Linked DNA regions of Tribolium castaneum. The protein of the gene in region 1 binds, or shares a complex with, the protein of each later gene. Links are inferred from orthologs where the notes say so. Each region holds a gene or a part of one and is shown on either strand. Other genes may lie near its edges. The genes, in order: unc-45 and Hsp83.

Evidence for each region.
Region 2: the proteins of unc-45 (region 1) and Hsp83 are in contact, whole or in part, in a crystal structure (PDB 4I2Z), measured with the Caenorhabditis elegans proteins. The link is inferred for Tribolium castaneum from reciprocal best matches to the Caenorhabditis elegans genes unc-45 and hsp-90. Residues at the interface, in NP_497205.1 of Caenorhabditis elegans: Arg12, Asn16, Val19, Tyr31, Val48, Arg51, Asn52, Met55, Lys59, Val81, Lys82, Phe85, Arg86, Asn113, Asp114, Ile117; in NP_506626.1 of Caenorhabditis elegans: Ser696, Arg697, Met698, Glu699, Glu700, Val701, Asp702.

The regions. Positions count from the first base shown.
Region 1 is NC_087401.1:16,175,036-16,179,369, forward strand, and holds the start of unc-45 (protein unc-45 homolog B), read left to right. Parts: upstream 1-1,531; coding exon 1,532-2,297; intron 2,298-4,334. Other genes in the region: Ufd1 (ubiquitin recognition factor in ER-associated degradation protein 1), read right to left, coding at 131-894, 944-1,064.
Region 2 is NC_087398.1:3,475,603-3,480,088, forward strand, and holds Hsp83 (heat shock protein 90), read right to left. Parts: upstream 2,911-4,486; 5' UTR 2,803-2,910; intron 2,465-2,802; coding exon 299-2,464; 3' UTR 122-298; downstream 1-121. UniProt on the Caenorhabditis elegans protein: Molecular chaperone that promotes the maturation, structural maintenance and proper regulation of specific target proteins involved for instance in cell cycle control and signal transduction. Undergoes a functional cycle that is linked to its ATPase activity.

The DNA.
Region 1 (4,334 bases):
TTAAGGGTCACAGCTATTTTTTTCGACTTTTGGTTATTGATAAATGGGAAAAAACAACACTTTAATGTTTAATAACAATTTATTTCATTCTTAAATATACAAAAAAAAATTATAAACTAAAAATAAATAATCATTGTTTCATGCTGAACCCCGTCCCACTAAACGCCCTAAACTCATTACTGGCTTCATCCTCCTTCTCTGGCTTGGTGCTCCGCCTGATGAACCTCAACGTCCCGATTTCGTAATCATAATTGGGGATCCCCCTCACATACGCCGCCCTACAATTGACGACGTCACTGGTCCCGGAATCCTTCCGTTTCTTGCCATCTAATCGATTTCCCGTGCCTTTGAAGGGCACAAATCCGGTCGGCTCCGGCATCAGATCAGCCGGATCCACGGCCATCTCCTCATCCTCCTTCTTGACCTTCTCCGGCTCTTTGTAGCCCACCGGGGGCGCAAACTCCACGTTCATATCGCACTCAATTATACTGATCGCGTTGCCTGGTTTCGTCTCAAGGACGCACAATTCGTAAATCTTCTGGTTGTATTTAACCGCAATCACATCTCCGGTTGTGAGACAAGCGAACGAGCGCAAGCAGTTCTCAAGCACGGCCTTGGGGTTCGTGATGTCGAGGAAATCAGGGGAGAGCGGCTGGAACTTGGAGAAGGTCCCCACTGGGAGCGAAACGCTCTCGATTCGCACCAAATCGCCCTCCTCCAGGACCATGTTCTGCATCATCCAGAGCGGCAGGTACACCTTACCCTCGTCGGCCACGAACTCCAGCACCCCGCAGTGGGTCACCCGGTTGGTCTTCTTGTTCGTGAGCTTGAACAACATCGGGTAGTTGATGTTCAAACGAGTCAGCTGTTCCAGGGCCGAAGGCGGCATGATTACTGGAACAAAGGGCCTGGAATCGCGCAACAAGCCACTAGACGTGCTCACTTTTGCCCCCGCGTTCCACGTCCTGGCGCTCGTTCCCCGGCAGCATGGCAACCGAGTGGCACTGGTAGATCATGTTGAACGGTCTCGGGATCTCCGGGAACATGTTGAACCCAAACTGAAACTTGCCAACACAAATAGCACGCAATACTAGCAACAACACCGAAATTTACCATTCTGTCACGCTTTACTCAGCCAATTTCAAACCAAAACAATTATTTGCCAAATTTTGACAAGTAACGTCAGACTTTGACAGTTTGACAGGACAGAAACCTGTAATTTTGTGCCCCAAAAAGCAAGATTTTGGAGTTGTGGGCGCGTAAACCGTGCCAAAACTGTGACCAAGTCGTGCGTGAGCGCCTTAATTGTCTAATTACTAATAATTGATGCGATTATTGCATTAAAATTAGTTTATGGCACCGCCTCTGAACCTAACCTCAAACCTGGCAAATGTCCAAAAATAGCCTTTTAAATTTAGAAAATTCCTCTCGCGTCTCGAAAAGCCCAGAAACTTCGACTCAAACCGTATAAATACGGCATGTGGCCACGCTGTCACAACCTCAAGTGAAACAGTGTGCACATAACCCCAAAATGGGCGAACCCGAAGCGTTAAAATACAAGGAAGAAGGCAACGCGGCCTTCAAAAGTGGCAATTGGGACTCGGCGGCCAAACTCTACACCAAAGCCATCAACTTGGAGACGAGCGAGAGTCGGGACTTGTCCGTGTTCCTCAAAAACCGGGCTGCGGCCTATTTGAAGTTGGGCAAGTTTGAGGAGGCGTTGAGCGACTGCGACCGCAGTCTGGAGATAGTGCCCCGCGACCCCAAGGCGCTGTTCCGCCGGTGCCAGGCCTTGGAGGCGCTGGAACGGTTTGAGGAGGCTTATCGGGACGCCACCCAGATTTTCAAGGATGACCCCAATAATAGGACGATTCAGCCGGTTTTGGAGCGATTGTATCGTATTGTCCAGGAACGGGTTAAGGAAAATGCCCAGACCAGCACTAAGATCGAGAGTATGACGAAGTTGGCGTTTGATTTGGCCGCCGATAGGGAGAAACGCGAGACTGCGATGAATAATTTGTTGGTGCTTGCGAGGGAAAATGCGGGGTCGAGTCTTATGATTAAATCGCCGGTTGTTCAGCAGATTAAGAAGTTGCTTAAAGTGGAGAAGAATCGGGAAATATGTGTTACTGGTATACGAATTATCGGCGAGCTTTGTAAGCATAATGTGGATAAGACACGAAGTGTTATGAAGGATGTGGGGATCCCCTGGTTTTTGGAAATTTTGGACTCGAATCATGAACAGCAAGTTAACGCAGCGCAGTATTGCATCCAACAAATCCTCAATATTTTCTCAGGTACGAATAAAATGTTGGGTCTAAAATATATCGTTTCACTTTTAATTGAATAAAAATACTTGTTTTCGTATCTCCTTTCGCCAGTTTGTTTTAAAATTCGGCTTAAAAATAATTTTCTTTTTTACTTTATTTTTACTAAATTATAGTTTTTATCGCTTCTCTGGTTCATGTTCCCTCAGATGTTTCACAGACCTCTTTAAAAATTTAAATACAGTTCGATATTTTTTTCAATTATCCATTTACATAAGTACTATGCGATTATTTGAATTTATATTTAGAATAGTCACTTTTTTGTCATTTTTCTGATATTAATTAAAGGTTACGTTTGGACATTTCCCTTTTAGATAGAATAAAAATACTTGTTTTCGTGGCTTCTTTAGCCATTCGGTCTAAAGTGGACATTTGGCTCAAAGTTTAATTCTATTTGTTCATTTACAAAATTTTCTTCTTTCTTATTTATAGATTTTTTCAAATGAGTTTTTATCTTTTTCTTTTGTATTGTGTTATTGCCTGTTCCTCTAGATCATGATACTTCCTTAGATATTACTCAAATGTCTTTAAAAATTTAAATACAGTTCGATAATTTTTTTAATTATCCATCTACATAAGTATTATGCGATCATTTGAATTTATAATTAGAGTAGGCGATTTTTTTCTTTGCGATTTTTCTCAGATATTAATAAAACGTTACGTTTGAAGATTAAATAAAAATACTTGTTTTCGAATCTTCTTTAGCCATTTGGTTTATTTTAGAAACAAAAATGTGAAGAAAGTGGAAATTTGGCTCAGAGTTTATCTCTATTTGTTCATAGAAGATTTTCTTCTTTTCTTTATAGATTTTCAAAGGTGTTTTTTTTTCTTTTGCATTGTATCATTGCCTGTTTCCCTCAGATCTCTTTTAAATGTCTTTAAAATTTTAAATACAGTTCGATAATTTTTTAAATTATCAATATACGTAAGTACTATGCGATCATTATTATTTTTCTCAGATATTAATAAAGCGTTAGGTTTGAACAGTTCCCCTTTTAGAAAAATAAATCTAAGAAAAATGGAAATTTGGTTCAAAGTTTAATTCGTTCACGTAATTTTCTTCTTTTTCTATAATTTTCAAACAATTTTTCGTCTTTTTCTTTTGTATTGTATTATTGTCTGCTTCTCTAGATCATGTTCTCCCAGATCTTTCTCAAATGTCTTTAAATATTTAAATACAGTTCTATACATTTTTAAACTACCCATGTGCATAAGTACTATGCGATTATTTAAATTTATATTAAAATAGGCGATTTTTTGTGATTTTTCTCAGATATTCATAAAGTTTAATTCTATTTGTTCATTCAGGCAATTTTCTTCTTTTCTTCTCTCTAGATTTTCAAATGAGTTTTTGCCTTCTTCTTTTGTTTTGTATTATCTCCTATTTCTACATTTTTCTGTAAAAATGTAAATACAGTTCGAAAATTTTTTAAACTATCCATTTGCATAAGCATCATGCGATCATTTGAATTTATAATCAGAGTAGGCGGTTTTTTTTTCTTTGTGAAAAATTCGAAATTTCGAAATTTTATTGTTGTACTCTTCAGTTTGATTAATTATAATTCTTAGCCTTTTCATGCACGTTAAAAAAACTCTAGAGGACTGTCCTTTTATCCAAATAACTTTAGAGTTATTTCTTTCATTCTTTATTACAGCAGTACACATAAGAATAAGAACATTGCTGTCCTTAATTTTAGCTTTATATTGCTTTTTCAGGATGATTCCACATCCTTTTCTTTTTTTTTGTTAGATTTTTTGTTTTTGGTTTCTTATTGTTTTAGTCTTTTTAGTATCCTATTATCTTCAGGGCGTCTTTTGTTCTTATTCCACTTCTTAATTGCTTTGAAATATTCGTATATGTTTCTGCTTCAATATACTTTTAATAGTTGTAATAGCACAGTCTATATTAATTCCCATTTCTTCGACCATATTTTCTGTATTATTCCTTGCTATCATCTCTTTTTTCATATTCTTCTGAAGTTATATAAGTCCATGTTTTCTTCCTCA
Region 2 (4,486 bases), on another chromosome or scaffold:
TCACTCAAACATCTGTCAAATGTGTCACGTGACTTGATTTTGCGAAGCCAAGCCCAATTTGTGATGGATTTTTTGCTTTTCAACAATTATTTGTTAAAGGCGTTCAAATAAAACCAAGAAATTAATTAAATCAATTTTATTCACAAAAAACGAACTCAGACTTTTACAGGTGTTAACACGGCGGCGGTAGGCCGCCAAAATAATACTTCATTTTTTATAAAAATAATTAAGAAATATAAAAAAACACTAGGAATGACAATTAGAACATACTAGAACACATGTCCTAACATTCGAACACTTAATCAACTTCCTCCATCCTCGACGCGTCCTCGGACTCGGCGGCATCAGCAGAGGGTGCATCGCCTCCTTGTGCATCTTCGGTGATCATGGCTTCCTCCTCATCAATACCCAGACCCAGCTTGATCATCCTGTAGATCCTGGATGCGTGGACTTGAGGCTCATCCAAGGTGAACCCAGAGCTGAGTAAAGCGGTTTCAAACAAAAGAATAACCAAGTCTTTAACAGCCTTGTCATTCTTATCAGCCTCAGCCTTCTGCCTCAAATTCTCGATGATTGAATGGTCGGGGTTGATTTCGAGGTGTTTCTTGGCCGCCATGTAGCCCATAGTGGAGGTGTCTCTCAAAGCTTGGGCTTTCATGATACGTTCCATGTTGGCGGTCCAGCCATACTGCGACGTAACAATACAGCAGGGAGATTCGACTAGACGGTTCGATACCACGACCTTCTCAACCTTATTATCGAGGATACTCTTCATAACCTTGCAAAGTCCTTCAAATTTGGCTTTGTCTTCTTCGCGCTTCTTCTTCTCTTCTTCGTCTTCAGGCAATTCGAGACCTTCCTTTGTGACCGAAACGAGAGTTTTGCCGTCGAATTCTTTCATTTGTTGTACGACGTATTCATCAATGGGCTCAGTCATGTAAACGACCTCGAAACCGCGCTTCTTGACCCTCTCAACGAACGACGAATTCGCCACTTGCTCCTTGCTTTCGCCAGTAATGTAATAAATGTGTTTCTGGTTAGGCTTGATGCGGCTCACGTAGTCCTTCAAAGAGCAAGCCTCATCGCCACTTGCAGAAGTGTGATAACGGAGCAATTCGGACAATTTGGCCCGGTTTTGCGAGTCTTCATGAATACCCAATTTAATATTCTTCGAGAACTGTTCGTAGAATTTCTTGTAGCCGTCCTTATCCTCGGCCAACTCCTCGAACAACTCTAGGCATTTCTTGACCAAATTCTTACGAATGACCTTCAAGATCTTATTTTGTTGCAACATCTCACGGGAAATGTTCAAAGGCAAGTCTTCCGAATCGACGACACCCTTGATAAAGTTCAAATATTCGGGGATGAGTTCTTCGCAGTTGTCCATAATGAAAACCCTCCTCACGTATAATTTAATATTATTCTTGCGCTTCTTATTTTCGAAAAGATCGAATGGAACGCGACGTGGGACAAAGAGGAGGGCACGGAACTCCAATTGACCCTCAACACTAAAGTGTTTGACGGCCAAATGGTCCTCCCAATCATTAGTCAACGATTTGTAAAACTCTCCGTATTCTTCCTGACTGATATCGTCAGCGTTTCTTGTCCAAATCGGCTTGGTTTTGTTCAATTCTTCATCTTCTGTGTATTTCTCCTTAATAGTCTTCTTCTTTTTCTTATCTTCCTTCTTCGTGTCTTCATCTTCGTCCTCGCCTACATCCTCAATCTTTGGCTTATCTTTATCCTTGTCTTCGCCTTCTTCCTCCTTCTTCTCTTCTTCGGCCTCATCGTCGCTCAACTCCTTCTCGCGTTCCTTCTCCACGACCAATTTGATGGGATAGCCAATGAACTGCGAGTGTTTCTTTACAATTTCTTTAATTTTGTGTTCTTCCAAAAATTCGGTTTGGTCCTCTTTCATGTGAAGGACAATCTTGGTGCCACGGCCCAAAGGCTCGCCACGGTCTTGTGTTACAGTGAAGCTACCACCAGCTGACGACTCCCAAACGTATTGCTCATCATCGTTATTCTTCGAAACGACTGTGACCTTGTCTGCTACCAAGTAAGCCGAGTAGAAACCAACACCGAATTGACCGATCATGCTGATGTCAGCCCCAGCTTGGAGGGCCTCCATGAAGGCTTTGGTGCCGGACTTGGCGATGGTGCCCAAGTTATTGACCAAATCGGCTTTAGTCATCCCGATCCCGGTGTCAATAATGGTCAAGGTCCCGTCATTCTTGTTAGGGATGATCTTGATGTAGAGTTCTTTGCCTGAATCGAGTCTGGAAGGGTTGGTCAAGGACTCGTAACGGATTTTATCCAACGCATCTGACGAATTGGAAATCAACTCCCGAAGGAAAATTTCCTTGTTCGAGTAGAAGGTGTTGATGATCAGACTCATCAACTGGGCGATTTCCGCCTGGAAGGCGAAGGTTTCCACATCTCCATTTTGGTTTTCTTCCGGCATCTGCAATTAAATTCGACCTTGAAATTTCACCGAACTCATGAATCACTAAAAAATGACTAATCGGACACCGAACAACGTGGAAAAGTCCGGAAAATTTGATTAAATTTCGTAGCAATGTCAAAGACCGCTCTGAATAACCTTGGCAGAAAACCACACAAAAAACGGGAAAACTCTAAAACGGTCTTCAAATTCGAAAAAATAGTCAAAGGATTAATAAACTCGTCTCAAATAACCGCAGCCTAGCGAAAAACGTACGATTTCCCAGACTTGGGGGTCAAACACCGGCGTGACATAACCTTGACTGAAAACGGCCGGAAAATCGGAAAATTTGCACCTACCTTGCTTAAATTAATGCACACACGAACAAATCACTTGAAAATTGCTTTGGGAAAATTATCACTTGGAAAATTTGTCGCTTCTTAGCTCTTCACTTAGCGCTTGCTTTTTCAACTCTGAGCGATTCGTGTTTGTTCGGTTGCTTTTATAGCCTTCTGCGTTCTAGATTATTCGAGAAGAATCTAGACGCTTTCCGACGCTTCGAAACCTTCCATAGACAAGGACAGAACATGAGTTGCTTCCGCTAAATCGGGCGCGAAATTCGAAATCTGCAATACCGTTATTGATTTTTCTAGAAAAATCCGTTTTATTTGTGTTATAGTTTATAATTTATTACGTCAGGATTATAGGGTAAATAAACTACGATCTTCTCAACAGGACCTTTTAATTTTACTTTACTCTACAAAAGCCAGTTACAGACTAACTTATTTTCTAAAAATCCAGACATTCGGCATTCATCTTTAACACATGTTTCCCATCTTTCACACTCGCCCTAAAAGCCCTCACACACACTAACCATTCGGACCTCCCAAGCATCCCTTACAATTCTACGAATTCATATCAACTCGGCCTTTCCTGACAATGTTCTCGTCCTCGAGAACACATCCCAACCATCTAATCACTCATTCCCCTAATGACACTTACCATAACTTAAAATAACGAAACTAAACACTCTACTTATGTCCCCAAATTTTTCTAATAATAAAATTCCGATAAAAATTTAACATTACCCTTAACACTTGTACAACCTACTTTATCTTAATTATTACTCCTCTAAATTACTAACTAATTTTAATCTGTCTACAGAAATAATTCCTTTATAGAAGCGACTACTTTGTTGTTCGCCTTCTATATCTTGCACTAAATATCTATCATTCCCTATAAATTTAACAATCTCATAGGGTCCTCGATACTTAGGGCTCAATTTACGACTTTGGCCGGTCGACGGTACCTCAGCCCGTACCAACACCAAATCCCCTTGCTTGAAAACCCTAGCCTGACGCCGCGATTTATTAAAATTCGCGCACATACGATCCGCATTTCTTTTCAGCCGATCCGCAACTAAATTTTGCTCTTCTTCCGTATTTAAGCGTGTATTTAAATCGCGTATTTCGGCTGCTAACGGATTATTAGTGAACCCGTCTCGCGTGTATGTCCGGACCAAACTAAAAGGCGTTCTTTTAGTGACCGAATGGGTTGCATTATTAATAGCCCATTGTACTTCGCTTAATTTTTCGTCCCAATCACTACCTTCTATGTCATCCGTACTTGTACTTAAGCATGTTATTATCACGTCGTTTACTTTCTCCACTTGTCCATTCGATCTAGGACTTGCTGTTGCAATTTTTACGTGTTGGATTTCACAATCACCGCAAAATTTTTCGAACAACTTCGAAATGAACGCTGTACCTCTGTCGCTAATTATTTTATTGGGCTTTCCATAATTAGAAACGAATTCTTTCAAAAAACTAAGAGTTCCCTCGGCTCCTACATCCGGCAGCGCTTTTAATACTGTGTACTTACTAAAGCCGTCTATAATAGCGCATACGTATTTGTTTCCTGTTTTACTTGACGGAAAAGGGCCCAAATGGTCGATATGCACCACCTGAAACGGAGTACTGCCTTTGTCTAACGGGTGCAGCATTCCCGGTTGCCTCCCGCGCGGTGTCTTACTATACAAACAGT